Linked DNA regions of Astyanax mexicanus. The protein of the gene in region 2 interacts with the protein of the main gene of each other region in a biochemical or structural test. Links are inferred from orthologs where the notes say so. Each region holds a gene or a part of one and is shown on either strand. Other genes may lie near its edges.

Evidence for each region.
Region 1: the proteins of rlim (region 2) and lhx3 form a complex in vitro, tested with the Homo sapiens proteins (2 studies listed by BioGRID). The link is inferred for Astyanax mexicanus from reciprocal best matches to the Homo sapiens genes RLIM and LHX3.

What each region holds. Positions count from the first base shown.
Region 1 is NC_064408.1:4,061,006-4,072,459, forward strand, and holds the start of lhx3 (LIM/homeobox protein Lhx3), read right to left. Parts: upstream 5,207-11,454; 5' UTR 4,749-5,206; coding exon 4,679-4,748; intron 1-4,678. UniProt on the Homo sapiens protein: Transcription factor.
Region 2 is NC_064417.1:1,610,849-1,622,304, forward strand, and holds the start of rlim (E3 ubiquitin-protein ligase RLIM), read left to right. Parts: upstream 1-4,577; 5' UTR 4,578-4,750; intron 4,751-6,559; exon of another isoform or gene 6,560-6,708; intron 6,709-8,187; 5' UTR 8,188-8,220; coding exon 8,221-8,389; intron 8,390-10,549; coding exon 10,550-10,708; intron 10,709-10,797; coding exon 10,798-11,456. UniProt on the Homo sapiens protein: E3 ubiquitin-protein ligase.

The DNA of each region.
Region 1 (11,454 bases), on a different chromosome or scaffold from region 2:
AATGTTGTAAATGCAGTTTCATGTCATGTTTTTAATTGTCCGTTTTTGTTTGTTTATAAACGGTTGATTATTTTTAACCAAATTATGTTTCTAATATTTTGTTGGTATTCTCTTTGTAATGCATTATTTTTTGCTTTATGAATGTCAGTTTTGACATTTTAATGTTTTGGGGTTTTTATATTGTCGGTTCCAAGCGTTTGAGAGCTTGAGGGGTATTTTAAATGTTTTTTCCATTTTTCTTCTCGGATACCACGTTAATGCGGGGGTTTCATGTATTTCACATTTTGTAAAGTTTTTAGTACACCTTCAAATGTTTATCTTTTTTTTTTTTTTTTAACAATTACGCAAACCCTTTTAAATAGTCTACACGCAAAGGTCTACACGCCGTTTTAGGCCCTAACTAACTAAAATTAATTTGTACAGGAAGAACAGGAAAGGAACCTTCAGGGAAAGAAACGTTATGCAATGTTTATTGCGAAAATATAAATTCCAGCAAACGCGTATTTTGTGCACAACTTTACGGCCTTTTTTGTGCAAAAAAAAAAAAACTAAACAACAAAAAAAAAAAACAAAGCGCGTGGCGTGCTCTTTAATATTTATCACCAATGCTCCGTTCTCCCGCAGGAGCAGCAGGTGCACCGCGCGCGCTCAGAAACTTGACACTTCAACTCTCCTCCTCGCGCGGTGCATGGAAAACATGGAAACGAATCTCATCGCACAGAGCTCTTACAAGCATACTCTTTTATCTGGAGATAAAAGGGGAAGACTACACTGTAAAAAATGATGTGCTGGTTTTACTTAAAAATATAGTGCAACGTTTTTGCAAGCTTGTTTTTAAGTGTTACCCACAAATCTTTTTTGATAACTTTTAATTAAAATATTAAACTGATATTACTTAATAATTTGCTTGCAAAAATGTTGCACTATGTTTTTACGTAAACCCATAGAAACATTTTTCGTCATTTTTACAAAAAAAATTACAGTGAAATTACTTAAAAATAAGGTTGCAAAAATGTTGCACCATATTTTTACGTAGAACCAACAAATATTTTTTAGTCATTTTTAACTAAAATCTTAAACTGACATTACTTAATAATAAGGTTGCAAAAATGTTGCACCATATTTTTACGTAGAACCAACAAATATTTTTTTACTAATTTTTAACAAAAATCTTAAACTGGCAATACTTAATAATACGTTTGCAAAAATGTTGCACCATATTCTTAAATAAAACTAAGAAAAGTTTTTTTGTCCTTTTTTCAAAAAGTCTTAATACTGACAGTACAAAAAAAATCACTTTACGCCTTCACATAAAAAAATGTCTTTGTCCAGTGAATAAACTTAATATTAACTTAACTTAATATTGTAAGATGAACATGAGCAAGACAGCAGGTTGAGCAGCTGAACATTAAATATTTAAAAGCAGTTAAAAAAAAGTCTTAGACCATTTCAAATGAACTCCATTTTTTTTTAACAAACAGTCTGTAATTATAGAAATACATGTGTTTTATGCTCATCTGCAAAAACTCTGTAAAACAGTGTAGAAACAAAAATAATATTTTATCCCTTTGTCTCCCTAACCTGCAGGCCAATTACTGAAAAAAAAGCATTTTTACAGTCAGTTGAAATAAGTAGATCAGAAAGGTGTTTGTACATAACTTTTTATATTTATTGCACATCAGAATAGAGCAGAATAAAATCCTTTAAAAAAAACATTTTTTTATATAAAAAAAAGCAAAAGCAAAAAGTAAACAGTTACAGAGAGTGTCACAGGTGTGCTTCGGCACACGTGTAAAAACACTGGCTCTGATTGGCTACCACCTCTGTCCCGCATAACTCGCCACCTGATTGGCTGACCCCAGACCTCTTTTTTTTCTCAGGCTGAAGCCCATGGAAACGCGCATGCGCAGTTTATCGCTGTAGAACAAAGAGAAACTCCTAAAATAAACCGTTAAAGTTGATAATATTTTTTTCTAAAAGCAGTGCTCGGATATGAGGATTACTGGAGACTGGACTGATGGATGTTGAGATGTTTGGAGGGGTTCTGAAGCCCGGACTCTGAGGTACGCGCTGATATTCTCTGTTTGCGTGTGAGGGGTGTCCTGTAGTAACCCCAGGCGGATCAAAGAGCGTGTTCACAGACCGAACCGTCTAACGCACTCTTATTCAGGAACCGTACATCCGACAGTAAAACGGTTTGCAGCTCCGTAATCCTGAGAGTCAGCAGGCTGTCATTGATATATTGAGCCTGTAATTATTCATAAACACAGCCAGATATTAATTATTATATTTATCTGGCCCGCCGTCGGGCCAGGGCGTGTTAAGAGCGTGTCAAGTTCAACAGGTGTTACACCGAGAACTGTCACCTGTTTAGACCTGGAGTCACAGATCTCTATAGGTCACAGTTCATGGTGAAACACCTGTTACTACTCACTAGCCTGGGCAGGGGTCCGCTCGAATTACTGTTATTATATCATTATATAGTAACGCACTGCTTTTAATCACCAGTAACGTCAACGGCGTTGTAACGACAGGAAAAGTAATTAATTATTTTATCCCGTTACTGACAAAATTACGTCGTTACCTAACGCCGTTACTTATAACGCTGTTATTCCCAACACTGATAATTATAGAACTAAGTGCACCAAGCTGCTCAGTGAAAAGGAGAATGTAAAAAAGGGGTTGAAGTGACCAATCATTGTAGCTAACATGCGTTAGCCTTATAGCACGCGAACAATACTTTGATTAGCCAGCTAGACCGACTCTGATCTGGCGTTACTCACCGGGGTCTCTAATGCGGTGCACGCTAACGCGGTGTAAGCATTATAGCACGCTAACGCTGTGTTAGCATTACAGCACGCTAACGCTGTGTTAGCATTACAGCACGCTAACGCGGTGTTAGCATTACGGCACGCTAAAAATAAGTTGATTAAGCCAGCTAGACCGACTCTGGTCTACTCACCGGGGTCGCTAATGCGGTGTTAGCATGACGGCCCAGCCCGGTTTGTACGCGCCCAGTGCCGGATTAGCCACCCGGGTAGTTAGCCTACGTGCTAGCTAGCTACATTTGCCCTTTCTTTCGGTTTGATGCTTGCCTATAGCTGCAGGCCAACATAGTTCACTGAAGCACCGTGTTTCTAAAACGAACTTAAACTACACAGATAACTCACAACTGTAAATATCTCAAAAATAATCAGTCACTGTGCTCTTACCCATGCAGTCCATGCTCGCTGCCTTCCAAAAGTTCTTCATCAGTGGAGATAAGTACTTGTATCAGTGCCTCGTGGTCTCCCAAGCAGCCTTAAAATATTTAGTTAGGCGTAACAAAATCTTAACATAATACACACTAAAACTATTGGGTTGTACTTATTTTTGTAATTAAGCAAAGTTCGAAAAGTATAATTTTAGGTAAAATCTTCTCATTATAATGAGCAAACATCACTGGGCTCAAATCATGTTGATTTTACTCAAATATTCATGCAATATTTCTCCAAATTTCTAAACAAAATAAACACACAAAATATTGGGTTGTACATACTGTTTTAATTAAGCATAGTTCAAAAAGTATAATTTTAGGTAAAATCTTCTCATATTAATGAGCAAAGTTTACTGGGCTCAAGAATCGTTTTTTGCAGTGTACTGATGAAGATCCATCAAGTCGTACTGCGCGCCGATTCGAAGATCAGACACGTCAAAGCGCCATAAGTGCTTCGAAAGTGAGCGAAAAGCTCGGATAAAGGACTGTATCGGTTTAGTAGAAAGCCTGCGGGTAACAGGTGCGTAACGCGCGATCGCACAGCGGGACACCTGCACCCGCGCTTTAACGGTTCGGTGCGAAGCGTTTTCGGCTTCATTAAAGCGTCTGTTTTATCCGTTAAACATTTATGCCACCGAATAATCGACTATAATTAAACAATAACCAAACAAAGAATACTTAGACATTCTAATAAATGTAAAAAGTTAACTCTATCCAGTTTGTAACACTACGGTTATTTGTAAGAGGAATCAAGATGATTTAAACTGCGATTAATCGTGATTCATTGAGAATATTTTCAGCAAATATATTAAATGACAGAATATTAAGTTTTGCAATAGATTGACACCACTATAAAACACAATATGCACCACACTTTATAGTGCACCCCGCGTCCACTCCGCTCTCTCTCTCACACACACACACACACACACACACACACATACACACTCCTCACACGCTCTTATAGCGTCAATTCTATAAAATCTTCCATGCGCATAATTTTGCACGAAAAAAAATGACCGATATTTCTAACAAAACCTAAAATATTCGTAAAAGTTTACTTCCTCAGTTTGTAACACTACACATTTTTTGTTTTTCGTTTTGTTTTGTTCTTTCAATCAAAAAATATAAGCAAGTATGCGCATTTTAAGCGCAATTAATCGTGATTAATCATGAGCTATCGCTGCCGAATATCAAATCACTAATATATATTAAATCAATATTAACACAAACTTTTTAATCGACTGGCACGAATTAACATAATATACTACGCACTCCTCTCACACACACTCCACACACACACACACTCTCTCTGTCTGCCGTTAGTTCTATAGGCACTTCAATGCGCAACAAATTGGCGCGTGCAACCTTGTTTTTTCCGCATAGAAAAGATAAAAAAAAAAAAAAAACATGTGCGCTTACCTTGGCTCGCGCTGTACCTGGAGTAATTTCCCGCGTTCTGGCAACTCGATCCGGGATGCTCGAGCAACATTTTGGTGGCAAATATGTCACAAAGAAATAAATAAAACAAATAAGTAAATAAATAAATAAATAAAGTAGCAAAAAAAATCGGTCACTCTGAATCCAAAGCGCTCGCGACGTGCACAAGATAACGAGATGACACCCCTTATGACACACCGAACACTCCTCGAGCTCTGTGTAAAAACGTAAGTGTAAGTGCGAGAGTGTGTGTGCGCGCTGGAAGTTTTGCAAATGGCACGAGCTCCGGCTGCGCGCTCGTGTTTGTGCAAGGAAAAAAAAAAAAGCAGCAGGAGGAGGAGGATCGTGCGTGCGCGCGCGCGTCTGCTGATGATGCTTCTGCGGCTGCAAGAGGTTACACCGTGTATGTGTGTGTGTTTGTGTGTGCGCGCGTGAGTGTGTGTGCGCGTTGTGTCTCGCGCGCGACAGGCGTGTGTCCCTGTCCACGGTGCTGAAGGGGAGTTTTGTGGAGGCGCGTGCTGCAGACGTTAACAACCCCCCCATAGCCCATCACCCCCCACCCCATACATATATGCACCCACCCCACTGCTGTTGCACGTGCCCATCATTCATCCCAGTATAATGTCCCGACTGGGCGTGGCGTCATTGCGTCACAATCTGCCACTGGTTTGTTTTGTTTTTGCTGTTAAAAAAAATGAGAGAATGTGTATAACCTTAAAACTATATAACATTACAATTAACCAAACATCTGAATACATATAAGGTCAGTGGTTCAGTGTGAATGTCTACCTGTAATGAGCTCAACATAAGCTTAAAATAATGTCTACATGTAATTAACTCTACATAACATTAAAATAGTATCTACGAGGAATTAAATATATATAAAATTAAAATAGCTTATACCTGTAATTAACTATATATTACTCTATATAACATTAGAACATTGTCTACATCTAAACAACATTAGAATGAACCCAAATTACATCTGTAATTAACTCTATATAACGTATATAAATCAAAATGAACATGAGGTTAGTGTTCAGTGAGAATGTCTATCTGTAATTAAGTCTATATAACATCAGAATAGTGTATACACTTAATTACTACACGAGAGTGAACCCAAATTCTAGCTGTAATTAACTCTATATAACATTAGAATAAACGCAAATAAATGGGGTCAGTGTTCAGTGAGAATGTCTATCTGTAATTAAGTCCATAAAACATTAGAATAAACTGAGATAAGCATGAGGTCAGTGTTCTGGGAGAATGTCTACCTGTAATTAGTCTATATAACATTAGAATAGTGTCTACATGTAATTAACTCTATATAATATTAAAATGGTGTCTATTAACTCAACATAACATTAAAATAGTATCTACCAACAATTAACTCTATATAACATTAGTATAGTGTGTACCTGTCATTAAATATATATAGCATTAGTATAGAACAACATAAGAATGAACCCAAATTCTATCTGTAATTAACTCTATATAACATTAGAATAAACCGAAATAAACATGAGGTCAGTGTTCAGGGAGAATGTCTAATTGTAATTAAGTCTATATAACATTAGGAGAGTACCAACCTGTAACTAACACTATATGACATTAAAATAGTGTATACCTGTAATTAACTCTATACAACATTAAAATAGTGTCTACATTTAAATACCCTGTATAACATTAGAAAAGTGTATACCTGTAATGAACTCTATATAACATTTAAACAGTGTCTACATTTAAACACCCTGTATAACATTAGAGTAGTGTATACCTATAATGAACTCTATATAACTTTAGAATAGTGTGCCTGCAATTTCCTTTATAGAACCAAAAAAAAAATGTCTACCTGTAATTAACTCTATATAACATAAAAACACATAATAAAGGTGATATATTTTTGTTGGACCGCTACAATGTATTAGCATATAAAATACAAATAAAGGACTAAAATATTACTGAAGCCACCAGTATATTATTCAGTTTAGAATATAGAATTGATTTTGTTTTTGCATTTTTTGTTATTTTATTTATCTTAATTTGTATTTTTTATTTTATTTTTAAATATTAATTCACATACAGTTCTATCTATCTATCTATCTATCTATCTATCTATCTATCTATCTATCTATCTATCTATCTATCTATCTATCTATCTATCTATCTATCTATCTATCTCATTATAACATTGTAATAATGACAATAACAATGAAAGAGATGCTCTCTCTCTCTCTGTCTCTCTCTCTCTGTGTCTGTCTCTCTCTCTCTCTCTCTCTCTCTGTTGTTTGCTGTGTAAATCCTGTCAGTAAGTCAGAGTCTGATCTCTTTATTCAGATTAGAATCCGACAGTCTTAAAGGAGCTTTAGAACAAACACAACAATACAGCCAGAGCCCATCTCCCATCTTCACTGTCTGTCTGTTTTGTTTGTTTGTTTGTTTATTTGATTGTTTGTTCGTTTTTTTTGTTTGTTTGTTTTTTTAGAGAGATTTTTGTATTTTATTTGTCAGGGTTGTTTGGCTCACAATAATACAGTATTCCTGTAACACAAGGTTATTATTATTATTATTATTATTATTATTATTATTATTATTATTATTATTATTATTATTATTATTATTATTATTATTGTATTTGTAGACGTATTCCCATCTCTTTCCTCTTTCCCTCTTTCACTTTCTCAACCTCTCACTCTGTCTTTCTCTTTCTTTCTTCCTATAACCCCTCTTTTCTCTCTCTCTCTTTTTACTTTCTCTGTGTTTCTCTCTGCCTTTTCCCTCTAACTGTATATTTCTTCTCTTTACTGTCGATTTCTCTTCCTGCCCCTGGGTCTTTATTTCTTTCTTTCTCTCACTCTACCTCTCTCTTTCCCTTTTCTCCTCCCTCCTTTCTTTTTCTTTCTTTCTCTTATTTTAGAATAGTGCATACCTGTATTTAACTCTAACATTAGAATAGTGTCTACCTGTAATTAACTCTATATAACATTAGAATAATGCATAACTGAAATGAACTCTATATAACATTAGAATAGTGCATACCTGTAATTAACTTTATATATTACATTAGTGCATACCTGTAAATAACTCTATATAACATTTGAATAGTGCATACCTGTAATTAAGTATATATAACATTAGAATAGTGCATAACTGTAATTAACCTTACATATAACATTAGAATAGTGCATACCTGTAATTAACTATATATAACATTAGAATAGTGCATACCTGTAATTAACTCTATATATAACATTAGAATAGTGCATACCTGTAATTAACTATATATAATATTAGAATAGTGCATACCTTTAATTAACTCTATATATAATGTTAAAATAGTGCATACCTGTAATTAACTATATATAACATTAGAATAGTGCATACCTGTAATTAACTATATATAACATTAGAATAGTGCATATCTGTAATTAACTATATATAACATTAGAATAGTGCATACCTGTAATTAACTATATATAACATTATAATAGTGCATACCTGTAATTAACTCTATATATTACATTAGAATAGTGCATACCTGTAATTAACTATATATAATATTATAATAGTGCATACCTGCAATTAACCTTACATATAACATTAGAATAGTGCATACCTGTAATTAACTATATATAACATTAGAATAGTGCATACCTGTAATTAACTCTATATATAACATTAGAATAGTGCATACCTGTAATTAACTATATATAATATTAGAATAGTGCATACCTTTAATTAACTCTATATATAATGTTAAAATAGTGCATACCTGTAATTAACTATATATAACATTAGAATAGTGCATACCTGTAATTAACTATATATAACATTAGAATAGTGCATATCTGTAATTAACTATATATAACATTAGAATAGTGCATACCTGTAATTAACTATATATAACATTATAATAGTGCATACCTGTAATTAACTCTATATATTACATTAGAATAGTGCATACCTGTAATTAACTATATATAACATTAGAATAGTGCATACCTGTAATTAAGTATATATAACATTATAATAGTGCATATCTGTAATTAACTATATATAACATTAGAATAGTGCATATCTGTAATTAACTATATATAACATTAGAATAGTGCATACCCGTAATTAACTATATATAACATTAGAATAGTGCATACCCGTAATTAACTATATATAACATTATAATAGTGTTAACACCATATAACATTAGAATAGTGTCTTACTCTCTCAACCTCTCACTTTCTCTTTCTCTCTCTTCTTACCCCCTCTTTCTCTCTCTCTCTCTCACACTCTCTCTTTCCTCTATCACGTCTTACTCTCTCTTTCTTTATCTCTGCTTTTTCTCTCAGACTATATTTATTTGCTTTACTGACAATTTCTCTACCTGCCCCTGGGTTTTTGTTTCTTTTTCTTTCTCTCACTCTACCTGTCTCTCTTTCTCCTTTCTTTGGCCCATGCTCTCTCTCTCTCTCTCTCTCTCTCTCTCTCTCTCTCTCTCTCTCTCTTATTTCACTCTTTCTATTGCTGTTTTCAGTTCAGTAGGCTTTATTGATATAACCATATTTAAAACAAACAGTATTACCAAAGCACCATCAAAACAATAACAACACAGGTTATATCACAGTTAGTTCCGACCCTGCATTGTGATTGGCGTTCTATAAGGGAAGTCTTTATAGATATTACAATATATCTATATAGTATATCAATAAAAATAGCAATGATATAACGTAGCATGGAAGATTATACCTTTATGTCTATGTTACCTTCTGGCCATCTCCTTTGAGTTAGAGTGTAGAAAAAATACATTCTATGTTTTAGGAGAATAAAAATAGCAATAGCTACTATAAAGTAGAATGAAAGATTATGTCTATATACATTTATATAATATAAGAAATAAATAGAAACTTGTGCTTTTCACTATATCTACTCTATCTCTCAGTGTACTCTCTCTCTTTTTCTCTCTCTGTCTCTGATCCTCTCTTCATTTGTGTAGATTGGTGAAGTGTTAGCACACCTGAGACCCCCACTCCACTGTTCCATCTCAATCAGGCCTTAAATGCCTTCAACAAAGGCCAGGCTGTACACGACACACACACACACACACACACACACACACACACCGAAACAACGGAGCATCCTCTCGCGGCCGAGAGACCCTCCACACTTCCGGCTTTTGTGCTGAGGGTCCGGCAGATCAAACCGCTGCATTATCCTGGAGGAGCGTTCCCACTTTTTTAAATGACTCTGAGTTTAAGTGCTATGAATATTAATGTTTGAGTGGGCTGAGTGTGTGTGTGTGTGTGTGTGTGTGTGTGTGTGTGTGTGTGTGTGGGAGGATGACTCTGGTGGGGGTTGGTGGTGGTCTGGTTTTTATTCTCAGTGGAATCTGTAGTATTCCTAAGGCAGATACTGTTTATGTCTACATGAATAATAAACAATTAAATAATTGTTTAGTCTCTGATAGTTCATTATCCAGCTAATTAACCATAACTATCCAATCAGAGGCTAACAAGCCACATGTTTATGGATTACAGGGACCAATCAGAAGTAATAATCAAGTAATAACAATCAAAGGCTAACCAATCATGTACTAATCAATCGGTGGCTAATAGAGACTATCAACAGACTATCATACAGAGGCAATCAAGTCACAGGATAACCAATCAGAGACTACCCAACCAGAGGTTAACTAGTCAAAGGTGAACCAACCATAATCCATAAATGCTTAATCTCTGATTGGTTGGTTAGTTTCAGACTGGTTAATCTATGGTTGGTCAGTCTCAGGTTATATTATGGTTCATTAATCTCTGATTCAATTTGGTTAATCTATGATTGGTAAGCCTTTGGTTGGTTAGTGTATGGTTGGTTTGTCTCTGCTTAGTCTCCGATTGGTTAGCCTTTAATTGGTTAGTGTATGGTTGGATAATCTCTGCTTAGTCTCTGATTGGTTAGTCTTTAATTGGTTAGTGTATGGTTGGTTTGTCTCTGCTTAGTCTCTGATTGGTTAGCCTTTGGTTTGTATATCTCTTATTGGTTAATCTTTGATTGGTTAGCCCTAAATTGGTTATATTATGGTTGGTTAGCCTCTGATTGTTTAGTCTTTGGTTGGTAAAAGTCTGGGTAGTCTGGGATCAAATAGTTGGTTTCTTAGCCTTAAACTGGTTGTTATGATTGGTTAGTATCTGGTTAGATGCTGATTGGTTATTATTCTGGTATAGTTATCCTTTAATTGGAAAGTTTATGGTTGGTTAGTCTCTGGTTAGCCTCTGGTTGGTTAGCCTTTAATTTGTTAGTTTATGGTTGATTTGTCTCTGGTAAGTCTCAGATTGGTTACTCTTTGGTTGGTTAATCTCTGGTTAGTGTCTGATTGGTTAGCCTTTGGTTTGTTATTCTTTAATTGGATAGTTTTTTCTGTAGTTGGTTAGCCATAAATTGGTTATGTTATGGTTAGTCTCTGATTGGTTAGTTTTTGATTGGTTAATATCTGGGTAGTCTGTGATTGGTTAGTCTTTGGTTTCTTAGCCTTAAATTGGTCAGTTTATTTTTAGTTTGTCTCTGGTTATTCTCTGATTGGATAGCCTTTAATTGGTTAGTGTATGGTTAGATAATCTCTGCTTAGTCTCTGACTGTTTAGTATATGTTTAGTTGGTCTCGGGGTAGTCTGTGATTGGGTAATCTTTGGTTGGTTAGCCTTAAATAGGTTATGTTATGGTTGGTTAGTCTCTGATTGGTTAGTTTTTGATTGGTTAATCTCTAGGTAG
Region 2 (11,456 bases):
GAAGCTATTTGATTGCTAATAGCACCCCCTTGTGGAGAATCTACAGTCTAACCGCCATGAATGAATGAATAAATGACTGAATAAGTGTGTGAGTGAATGAGTGAACTACAACCTCGACAAAGTCCAGAGGTTCTTTGCATCTAACAAGAACTTAACAGAACAACAGAAGCCATAATTCTGGTAAATTCTGGAATTTAATGCAGCCCTTTGGTGATCTCCATCATCAGAATGCCAAAAAAAAATCCGGCCGAGTCCATACACGTTCTGCCCGAGCCCGACCCAAACCCATCAAATAAACTATAATTTTGAGCCCAAGCCTGATTTAAACCCCACATTATTTTTAGTAAGTAGAGCGTTAAAACTGAGCTTTTTACAAACATTTTTGGGCTGTTTAAATGAGTGAAATCTGTTCAGAATGATGTTAGTTAACATTGCAACACTGAAGAAGCATAGACCTATTATTAAAGGTAAATAATTATTAAGAACAGATCTACGAAACATTAAAACACAGACGATGCGAACAATGACCCACAGGCCTAAACATCGGTAAATTAGGCTAAAAGGATGATGTCTGAATTACTTTTTTTTTCTAATCTAATATAATTTAACATGGTTTAAGAATATAAAATACTTTCTAAACAAACAAACTGTTTTATATTGAGCTTATAGTCTATGTCCAAAAACATAACATCATTTACAATGATTTTTACTCTAATCCAATATAATTTAACATGGTTTAAGTATATAAAATATTTTCTGGACAAATTATTATTATAATTTTTTAATCATATAGATTAAGTGCTAAAAACCCATATATATATATATATATATATATATAATGCTATATATAGTCTATATATAGCTTTGTGTAAAATAAAATAGCATTAAAAATACATTTTCTTGAGCCCGGTCCGATTTCGGGCATCAGCTCAGACTCGGGCAGAAAATCTAACCTCCACCAGACACCCTGTTGTAGTAGATTCATCATGTGTATTGATTATTAAGACGTTAATCTGATTATAACAGTCTATGACTTGCTGATATAAAAACATATTTTCTCAAAATTAAAAGAAAATGATTTTAAACTATTCTGGAACATATTTTAAGAGAAATAATAGAATAATAAAATAAAAGCTGAGGGAGGTGTGATGCCGCGGGTGCGTTCACTCTTTGCTCCCGAATGTTAACTTATCATAGTTTTGCCCTGTATTCTTCTGCCTCTCTCTGTTGTGTCCAGCTCTCCGTGTTAAAGGACCCGGACACGCTGGCGATGGGGAAACTGCACACGGGCGTCACGCTCACCTGCCTGCCTTCTCGTTTCTGCCTATTTTCGATTGAATGTACTTCTACAAGATTTGTACAGTGTGCCACTGTTGAGCTGCCTCCTCTTACTGGTGCTAAGAAAGCAAATTTTTCTTTTTTTTTTGTTTTGTTCTTCTTTCCCAGATATGACAAAAAAATGGAAAGGAAAAAAAGAGAAAATATAGAAACACAAAGCCCTAATCCTCTCTTTATGAATGTATAATATATGGTTATGTTTGATGTATTCACACCATAATTCTTTGACATTAATTGGGATTATTACTTTTTGCTTTTTTTGTTGAAAAGAGTATTGAGCTTTATAAATATTGTCTAGAGTTGATACCAGAGGGATTCTTAATGAACTCTTGACAAGACAAAAAATTACTGTATATTTTTCTCTGTGCCAATTTGTAACATATTTTGTAAGTGTATATTTTTCTTAGAAAGTGCTGTGAAGTATTAGTGTGTGTGAGTAACCTTTTTTGCGCCTCTGTAGGCAGTGAAAAGGATGTATAATGAAAAAGTTTCTGGTTTTAAAAACCAAACCATTAAGTAACACAAAAAAAAAAATCTACATTTTTGTTGGGAGTTTTGTACGAGAAAATTGACCTTGTTGTGGGAGTACTGTGTTCATGTGGAAAACACAAATAGGCAAACAAAGAAAAATGATGAAAAAAAAAACATTAAATTTGTGAACTACTTGCTGTTTTATAGATTTTTCATGTAAATTATTCTAGTATTATTTTGTTTATGTTGTAACTGTTGCAAAGGTTTTAAATATTTGTGAACCCGCCTGTATGGTGATAATGTAATATTGGTAATTTGCTGAGTTTTGTAATAATGTTTATGGAGTAAATATACAAATTAAAATGAGATTTTGAATGCTGCTTTTGGAAATTGTCAGTTTTGTTCTGTCACTGTTTCTCCTACTGTTTTACTGATTCAAAACTTCACTTTAAATGCATTGGGGAGGTGTTTTGGACTTAGGAGTAAACAAATATACTATATTTTGAAACTAGTTTACAATGTTTAAATACCATGTTTTATTACAACAAGCCAGAAAAATGAATATGGTATAATTATACATCACTGATTGGTGGAAACTTCACACTGGACCTCGAGCAGTTTGGACTGTGTGTCTCTCCACTCTTCCTCCAGACTCTGCTCCCTTGATTTACTAATGAAATGAATAAATGTAAATTTACTGATGATCAGTGATGGTTTGGACAGTCATGTCTGTCATCTGCTGGTGTTGATCCACTGTGTTTTATTATCAAGTCTAAAGTCAGTGCAGTTTTGTTTTCCCACAAAATTTACAACACTTCATGCTTCCCTCTGCTACTGACAACTTTTATGGAGATGCGGATTTTATTTTCCAGCAGGACTTGGCACACTGCCCACACAGCCAAAAGTACCAATCGGTCTTATATAATATTCTCATTTTCTGAGATACTGATTTTTGGGTTTTCATTGGCTGTAAGCCATAATCAACAATAATCATCAACAATAAAAAAACGCTTAAAATAGATCACTCTGTGTTTAATACATCTATATAATATATGAGTTTCACATTGTGAACTGAATTACTGAAATAAAGTAATAACTTTTCAATGATATTCTAATGTTTTGAGATGCACTAGTGTATCCCAGATGGTAAAGTAAAAGCACAGGGTAAGCTATAATACAGTGCTCCAGAAGGGGGTGATAAAGTTCCAGCAGCAGCACATCAGCAGGGCTGTGGGTATTGATCCTACAACTCTGATCAATATATAATAACCCAGTGCTCTAAACACCAAACCACCACAGATAATGAGAAAATATACATACTAATTTATTTATTTATTATTGAAAGTAAGTGAAAATGTAGCATACATAAGCAACTGATTTTACCTGAATGGACTACCTGATTAGTAAGTAAAATAAAGGGTCTAAAACCAGATAAAACTGATATCAAGATTATGAACACATAACACATAGCTCCAGTTTTCCAGACAGGGATTATGCCTAGTCTTGAGCCACAGCATTCTGAATATATATAGGTCTAATCCCTGTCTAAGAAACACACATATATATATATATATATATATATATTTTTTTTTTTCTTTTCTTTTTTTTTTTTACCTTACCTTAGATATTAACCTTATATATTAGGTAATGATAATGTCGGAACAATATCTGATTTTGCCGATTCTCGTCTATTTTAGCTAAGAAGAATATTTGAACTTTTATAAAACTATATAAAACAGGCTCTTAAATATAGGGTTATGTGAGTGAGCGCTTAATATACATTTCAGTTATCAAAATCTTAAAAATACGTACAGAATAAAATTATATATATATTATATATATAATAGACTATAAGCTTATTTCCTATTTATTCAGGGTCTCATTCATTTATTTGGCACAATCAATAATTAATAAAGGTAATGATCTATAATATCGGTCGGAAGAATATCTGATTTTGCCGATCAGTTACATCATAACTATCATATCTACTTTAGCTGACAAGAAGAGTTGAACATTTATAAAACTGTTCCTTTATTTATATAAAAATCTAGCACATTTATTACAAATTGTAGCACAGTTTAACTAGCTAATTAACAGGTGTAAAATAATATAAAGCTTTAATGAGCTTATTATATATATATATATATATATATATATATATATATATATATAGTTAAAATAAAATAAATAATTCTTAATAATTCTTGCCCGAGCAATTATATATAATTAACTATATATATAGTTATGAAAATCTTACAAGTGTGCGCAAAATAAAAAAAAGTATTTAGCTTTTTTTTTAAGCATTTTTAACATTTTTACAGCCTTTTAACAGCATTTTGGAGCATTTTTATGCATTTTTGAAGTATTTTAAGAGCAGTTTGCCTGTTTTCAGTAGGACTTTTATTACAAATTGTAGCACAGTTTAACTAGCTAATTAACAGGTGTAAAATAATATAAAGCTTTAATAAGCTGATATATATATAAAATAAATAATTCTTATTAATTCTTGCCCGAGCATATATATATATATATATATATATATATATATATATATATATATATATATATATATATATATATATATATATAGTTATGAAAATCTTACAAGTGTGCGCAGAATGAAAAAGGTATTTTGCTTTTTTTAAGCATTTTTAACATTTTTACAGCCTTTTAACAGCCTTTTGATGCATTTCTGAAGCATTTGTATGCATTTTTAAAGTATTTTAAGAGCAGTTTGCCTGTTTTCAGTAGGACTTTTATCTTGCCTTGTTTTTGACCGGAATCAAGGCTGTAGAGAACAGACGGGTTGAGAAACCAATGGTGGGGAGAACGGGTTTATAATACTTGGATAAAGAAGATCACGGTTACGTTTTATTAAATATATATCTACGGAGGACAGCACGGCGATCAGCAGAGGATATCAGCGGATCAGCTAGAACAGGTACGACCCTGCCGGTCACGGTAATCCACTTTAAAGATACGGGTTTACAAAGGTAACGTTAGCGTTAGCTCAAGATTAATATGCTAAGGCTAAGCTAAGCTATAGCTAAGCTTTGCTTTAAATGCGTTTCACCTTTACTGTTCTGGTGCGCTTAAAACGGCCAAGTTTTTTTGTTTTATTTTTATTTCAGAAAATAGCTGACTAACGTGTTAGTTAACCTGTTAAAGGAGCATTTGAATCCATTGTTATTTAGCTCACTTTCACTAACAGCTAGTTAATATTTGCTAGTTTCTAGTACAAAGCTAAAAACCCTTTAGCTAGCTAACGAGGCTAACAACTAGAGGTGGGTAACCCAGGTCCAGAAAGTAAAAATCCACCCAGGGTTTTGTACCAACTACCTGGGCGGCTCTACTACAGCTCGGCCAACAAAACCCTGGGTGGAATTTTACTCTCTTAACAACAGTTCTTAGAAAACGTCCATCTGTTCTCCTTTGACAATAACAATAAAACTCCGCTCCTGGATTTTGTTCCAGCTGCCTGATTGGCCCTCTGTGTTGCTCAACTGCTGCATACAGTTGGAACAAAATCCTGGAGCGGAGCTTTAATGTTCTGGACCGGGATTTACTGCTACCTTTAGAAACGTCTAAGATGGTTTAATTAGCTAGTTAGCTAGCTAGCGTTAGCTGTAGCTATAATGTAATCCACCCCGTACAAAATTACTAAAACTAACACGGTCTTTATATAGTTACATATTTAGCTAGTTAACGTTGTCTAAACGTTATGGTGTTCGTTATGGTGTGACAACAGAAATAAATAGTGATTTATTGTGTTTGTTACATATCTGTAGCTAAAATAGAGGGGTTGCTAGTCTAGGCTAGCGGAGTTAGCTACATGACGTTGGCCGGTGTCCTGTCGATTTGTGTTACCTTGTCAAAACATGTCACCGTTATGTATAAACTAGCTAACGTTACGGTTATAATTACAAATCAAGCAGTATACGCCTACATTTAATTTGGGATTAATAAAATATAATATAATCTAGCTGTTACTTTATTACAAGTATAGGATATAGCTAGATACAGCTATAGAAAAAAAAATAAGTCCACTTAATGATGAGTTTCTTTGATTTTACCAAATTGAAAACCTCTGGAATTTAATCAAGAGCAAGACCCAAAAGCAGTGTGCAAGACTGGTGGAGGAGAATATGCCAATTTGCATTAAAATTGTGATTAAAAACCAGGGTTATTCCACCAAATATTGATTTCTGAACTCTTAAAACTTTATGAATATGAGATTTGTTTTCTTTACATTATATGATCTGAAAGCTCTGCATCTTTTTTGTTGTTTCAGACATTTCTCATTTTCTGCAATTTTTTTCCAGAGCTGTATGCTCCTTTTAATACTCTCCTTGATATTTTCTATTTTATTACATTTTATTTTATTTTATATTATTTTAACAATGGCTCTTTTGGGTGTAACTGGACCACGAGAATACAATTTCGTTCCACCTCATGTAACTACCCCATGTGATGTGAAGGACAAGAAACTCTCATTGTGATAGCCCAAACACTAATTCTAATTATATCAGCGTAAATAATATTAAATCATATTTCTTATGATTAACCTATATATTCTGACCACCGATTTACTTTTATAATTAATCGATTAATTAACACACAAGCCAGTAATGGCTGTGGTCTAAAATGCACCCGAATAAAACAATATAATAATAATTATTATTATTCATAAAAATAACACTCGCACACGCATGAAAACATGTTGCACTGTGGTTCAGCGCATGCGCGTAGCGGCTCAGAAGCACATATCGATGAGCAGCACAATTCGACGGAACACCGCGTTACAGGCACAAGATGTTCTTGTAGGTTAGCTACCGGCCTAATTGGATCAACAATCTTCTTTAAACGGTTGCCTTTCTACTCTGCTCGGCTTATTTAGCGGTATGTAGACGGAAATCTGCTTTATGGAGCTAAAGTTTAACATTATCGGGCTGGATTAGCCTGTGTGTCGGCCTTCTCTCTCGATGCCATTTTGTTTTCTCTCCGTTTGGCGCAGTGCCTCACAATTAGTGTCCATTTTTGAAGCTGGTTAAATCCTAAAACACATTATAAAACATATATAGTAAATATAGCTAACTATCTGTCCTGCAGGTACACTTTACCGAATTGTCAGTCGGTTTAAAGAGTCCATAGAGGACAAACAAGTGACAAAACCTCAATGCTAATATGGCTAACTAGCTAAATCAGCTTTCAAACTGTAGGTAAGTTAACTGTAATATTTATGTTATATATTCTCAGTTATATTTTAGCTATCTTACACTTGCAGTGCAATACCTTATGCATATATGTCCATAGTGTGCTATTCTGTATATCGCTGGAAATAAGTTACTTTATTTCAGTAATTCAGTTAAAATGTGTTATGTAGATGTATTACACACAGAGTGATCTATTTTAAGCGTTTATTTGTTTTATCGTTGATGATTATTATGGCTTACAGCCAATAAAAACCCCAAAAATCAGTGTCTCTCAGAAAATTTGAATATTATATTATATTATAAGACCAACTGGTACTTTTGGTAGTGTGGGCAGTGTGCCAAGTCCTGCTGGAAAATGAAATCTGCATCTCCATAAAATTTGTTATCAGCAGAGGGAAGCTGTAAGATTTTGTGTGAAAACTAAACTGCACTGACTTTAGACTTGATAATAAAACACAGTGGATCAACACCAGCAGGTGACAGACATGACTCTGCAGACCATCACTGATTGGTGGAAACTTCACACTAGAACTCGAGCAGTTTGGACTGTGTGTCTCTCTACTCTTCCTCCAGACTCTGATCCCTTGATTTACTAATGAAATGTAACATTTACTGATGATCAGTGATGGTTTGTAGAGACATGTCATCTGCTGGATAATGTAGTGGAATAAAAACATTAATGATATTTTATGTCTATGTAATAGTACTGATACACAATTTTATACATGGAGCATTTATATAAGGTCTATTTCGCATTGTTTATACATTCAGAAAAAATATAAGTATTAGTGCATCTTTACACCCCTATTCTTTACAGTTTAGTTAAAATAAGTAATTTTTGTTATTCAAATCTGTTTAAAATATCATATATATTATAAAATCAAATCGCGAACAGAGTGTATCGTTACACCACTTGTTAGTATTTATTTATTAATGATGTTTTAAAACTATATCTTCCTACAAAAGAGCAGGCAGGCCTACAGAAGCTCAGCAATTACTGTAATGTGTTTTGTACAGCTTTCAGCTTAGGGATCATGAGTTCATTTCCTTTTCTAATTTGTAGGAACTTAAAATACCGTTTACAAGCTTTACACGTGCTGCTCTTTGTGCTTCTCTCGACAAGTGCCTTTGCAAGCTCTGTAAATCTTTGGTCCTCTGTCTCCAGGTGGTGCTGACAGTCGTTTTGGCTTTAACAGCCATGGAGAGCTCAGACAATGCAGAACAAGGGGGCAGCGAGCAGTCCGATTCACAACGCAGACAACAGCTGGACAGACTGGACAGAGAAGAGGCTTTCTACCAGTTCGTGAACAACCTGAGTGAGGAAGACTACAGGTTGATGAGAGACAACCATCTGCTCGGCACCCCAGGTAACTAAAATAAAGCTGGATTTATGATTATCTCTGTTAACGAAACTTGTTTTTGTTGTTGCTTAAATCATTTCTAATGTTAGCTGTCCTATAAAGTTTGATACGTTTTGTTTTGTGACCCAAAAAGGTGATTTAAGCAATTAAACACCTTCTTTTTCCATTGCAGCATGTTACTCTGTAGGTGGGAGAACTTTTGTGACTCACAGCGATTTATTATTTTTCCATCTTTTCCCACTGTATAGAACTAGCTAGGTGATGCAGAAATTAATATGCAAGGTTGACTGTCAGTCAGCTTGGCTAATTGTGCATTCCTCTCTGTGCACATTGATTACTTACGGCTTTCTTGAGATGTTCACCTCTCTGTATTGCGGTTATTTGAGATGATGGATACAGAGGATACTTTTTAATCATACAGCTCTGGAAAAAATGAAGAGACCACTTCAGTTTCTAAATCAATTTGTCTGATTTATTTCATAATTTATTCTATAAACTACGGACAACATTTCTACCAAGTTCCAAATAAAAATATTGTCATTTATAGCATTTATTAATTAATTAATAACAAAAAAGATGCAGAGCTTTCAGACCTCAAATAATGCAAAGCAAACAAGTTCATATTCATAAAGTTTTAAGAGTTCAGAAATAATCAATATTTGGTGGAATAACCCTGGTTTTTAATCACAGTTTGGGCATCATGTTCTCTTCCTCCACCAGTCTTACACACTGCTTTTGGATAACTTTATGCTGCTTTACTCCTGATGCAAAAAAGTTAAGCAGTTCAGTTTGGTGGTTTGATGGTTTGTGATCATCCATCTTCCTCTTGATTATATTCCAGATGTCTTTAAATTTGATAAAATTTAGGAGAAACATTATCATCAAGTGGTCTCTTATTGCTTTCCAGAGCTGTATATTGCTGCACTCAGAGTAATGGACAGTTACTTTCAGAGTACTTTATCTCTTTATCTAGTTTATTCCCCCTTTTAGAGAAATACGTGTTTTTGTGATTTTGTGGAGCTAAATGTTTTATGCGTTTTATGGATGGTTTGAATTTTGTTTAAGTACTTTAAAACAAAAACACCAAACAGTTGGACCTCTGAAGACGCCGATCCGTTTCTGTCCCGGGACAGTGGAAAGGAAAGGAAAGGTATTTTGGAGCATCATTAAGCGGAGGCCGCTGCCAGGAGATGACTTTGAGTGGACAGTTCTTGTCCTGGTAAGTCTGGTGGAATTCAGTATTGACCTGTTGCTGTTTCACAAGTTTCTCTGGGCAGCTGGTAAACAGCTCAAAAATGTTCAGTCATAAAATTCTGTATATTTTACTTTATGTTTTGAGAGCTGTAATTAGTTAGTGAAAAATGTTTGGTCCTAAAAAACAGGCTTAATAAATCAAATAAAAGGTCCATGTACTTCAGTCTGTTTAGGCTGTATAGTGGTTTTATACATTGTATGTCTTGTAATGATTAAAAAAATAATCCCTAAATATCACAATAAACAACTTTTGTTGAGCTAGTTTGGCGGGGGTTATTTATTTTTCATTTGTATTTTATTATTATTATTTTTTATTATTACTATAATTATGATTATAATTATTATTAGTAGTAGTAGTAGAAGTAGTAGTAGTTATAATAGTTTTCAAACAGGGTTAATAGCTTTTTTTTATTGGCCCAGCAATTACGCATAATCAGTTTTGTATATTTTGAATATTAAGTTATTAATTACTGTTTATGATGTGATCAATTTTGACATTTGCTTGCCTACATTGATCTTTATTTTTATTTATTTATTTATTTAACTTCTAGCTAGAGAATGTATGTAGTACTGTATATGCAACATTTTAGCTGTTTATAATCCTGCGTACTAAATGTAGACTTTTACTTTTTAGTATTGTCCATGTGTTGAGTTTGTAAATAAAGATTTCATGCTGATTTAAAATTTCTCTCTTTTTAATTATGTTTTGTTATTTTATTTCGGCCGCATGAGAATTCACGAATCGGACATCATCTCAGCTTCAGCAGCGACTTCAGCTTCATCTGTCTTCAGCCTCGGCTATAAAACCAGCACCTGGTCTTAAACTGTACAAGTCGTGAGAGAAGCCCTGCTTTGAGTCCGTCACAAAAAGATCAATATTTTAACTGTCTATATCTTTTTTTCTTTTATTAGGCGAGCTCACTGAAGAAGAGTTGTCGAACCGCCTTCAGCAAATCAAAGATGGCCCTGAGCAGCCACACAATGAAGGCAGTGGCAGCGGCAGCAACAGTGGCAGCAGCAGCAGCAGCAGCAGCAACAACAGCCCTGAAAGCAGTAGTGAACAGCCCAGAGGTACGCTGGCCTTGGTTACACATACGAGATTTGCTGCTTGTTTTATATTCTTTGGAATATCAGATCGTTAAAGTTGTTGTTTTCTTCAGTTCCAGATCAACAAGAAGAAGCATCCAATGGAGACACTCTTCTAGACTGGCTCAACACTGTGCGCCAGACGGGCAACACCACAAGAAGTGGCCACCGGGGGAACCAGTCGTGGCGGGCGGTGAGCCGAACCAACCCAAGCAGCGGAGATTTCCGTTTCAGCTTGGAGATCAACGTCAACCGCAACATAGCCGAGCAGCAAACGCAGACTGAAGCCGAGCGGCTGGAAGGAGACCAGGTCTCTCCAGATGCTGCTGTTTCTGAGGCTGAGCCGCCGATGGAGACGGCTGAGGTGGTGGAGGAACCTGTTGTTGAAGAAATGGCTGTTATAGTCGAGCCTGAGCCGCCTGTCCCTGAGGTCCCTGAGGTCCCTGAGGTCCCTGAGGTTCCTGAGGTCCCTGAGGTCCCTGAGGTTCCAGCTGCAACCAGCCCACCAAGCCCTCCGTGCCCACCAAGTCCTCCTAGTCCTCCTAGCCCACAGAATCAGGTTTCACCTCCACCACCACCACCTCCTCCTCCACCTCCTCCTCCACCTCCTGCTCCTGCTCCAAGTGTAACCCCAGTAGAGCCCACCGTGCCTCCACGTAGAGGCCAGATTAGAGCACGAAGCCCAAGCCCGGAACAGCGGAGAACCAGGGCACGTACAGCAAGGAGTCGATTA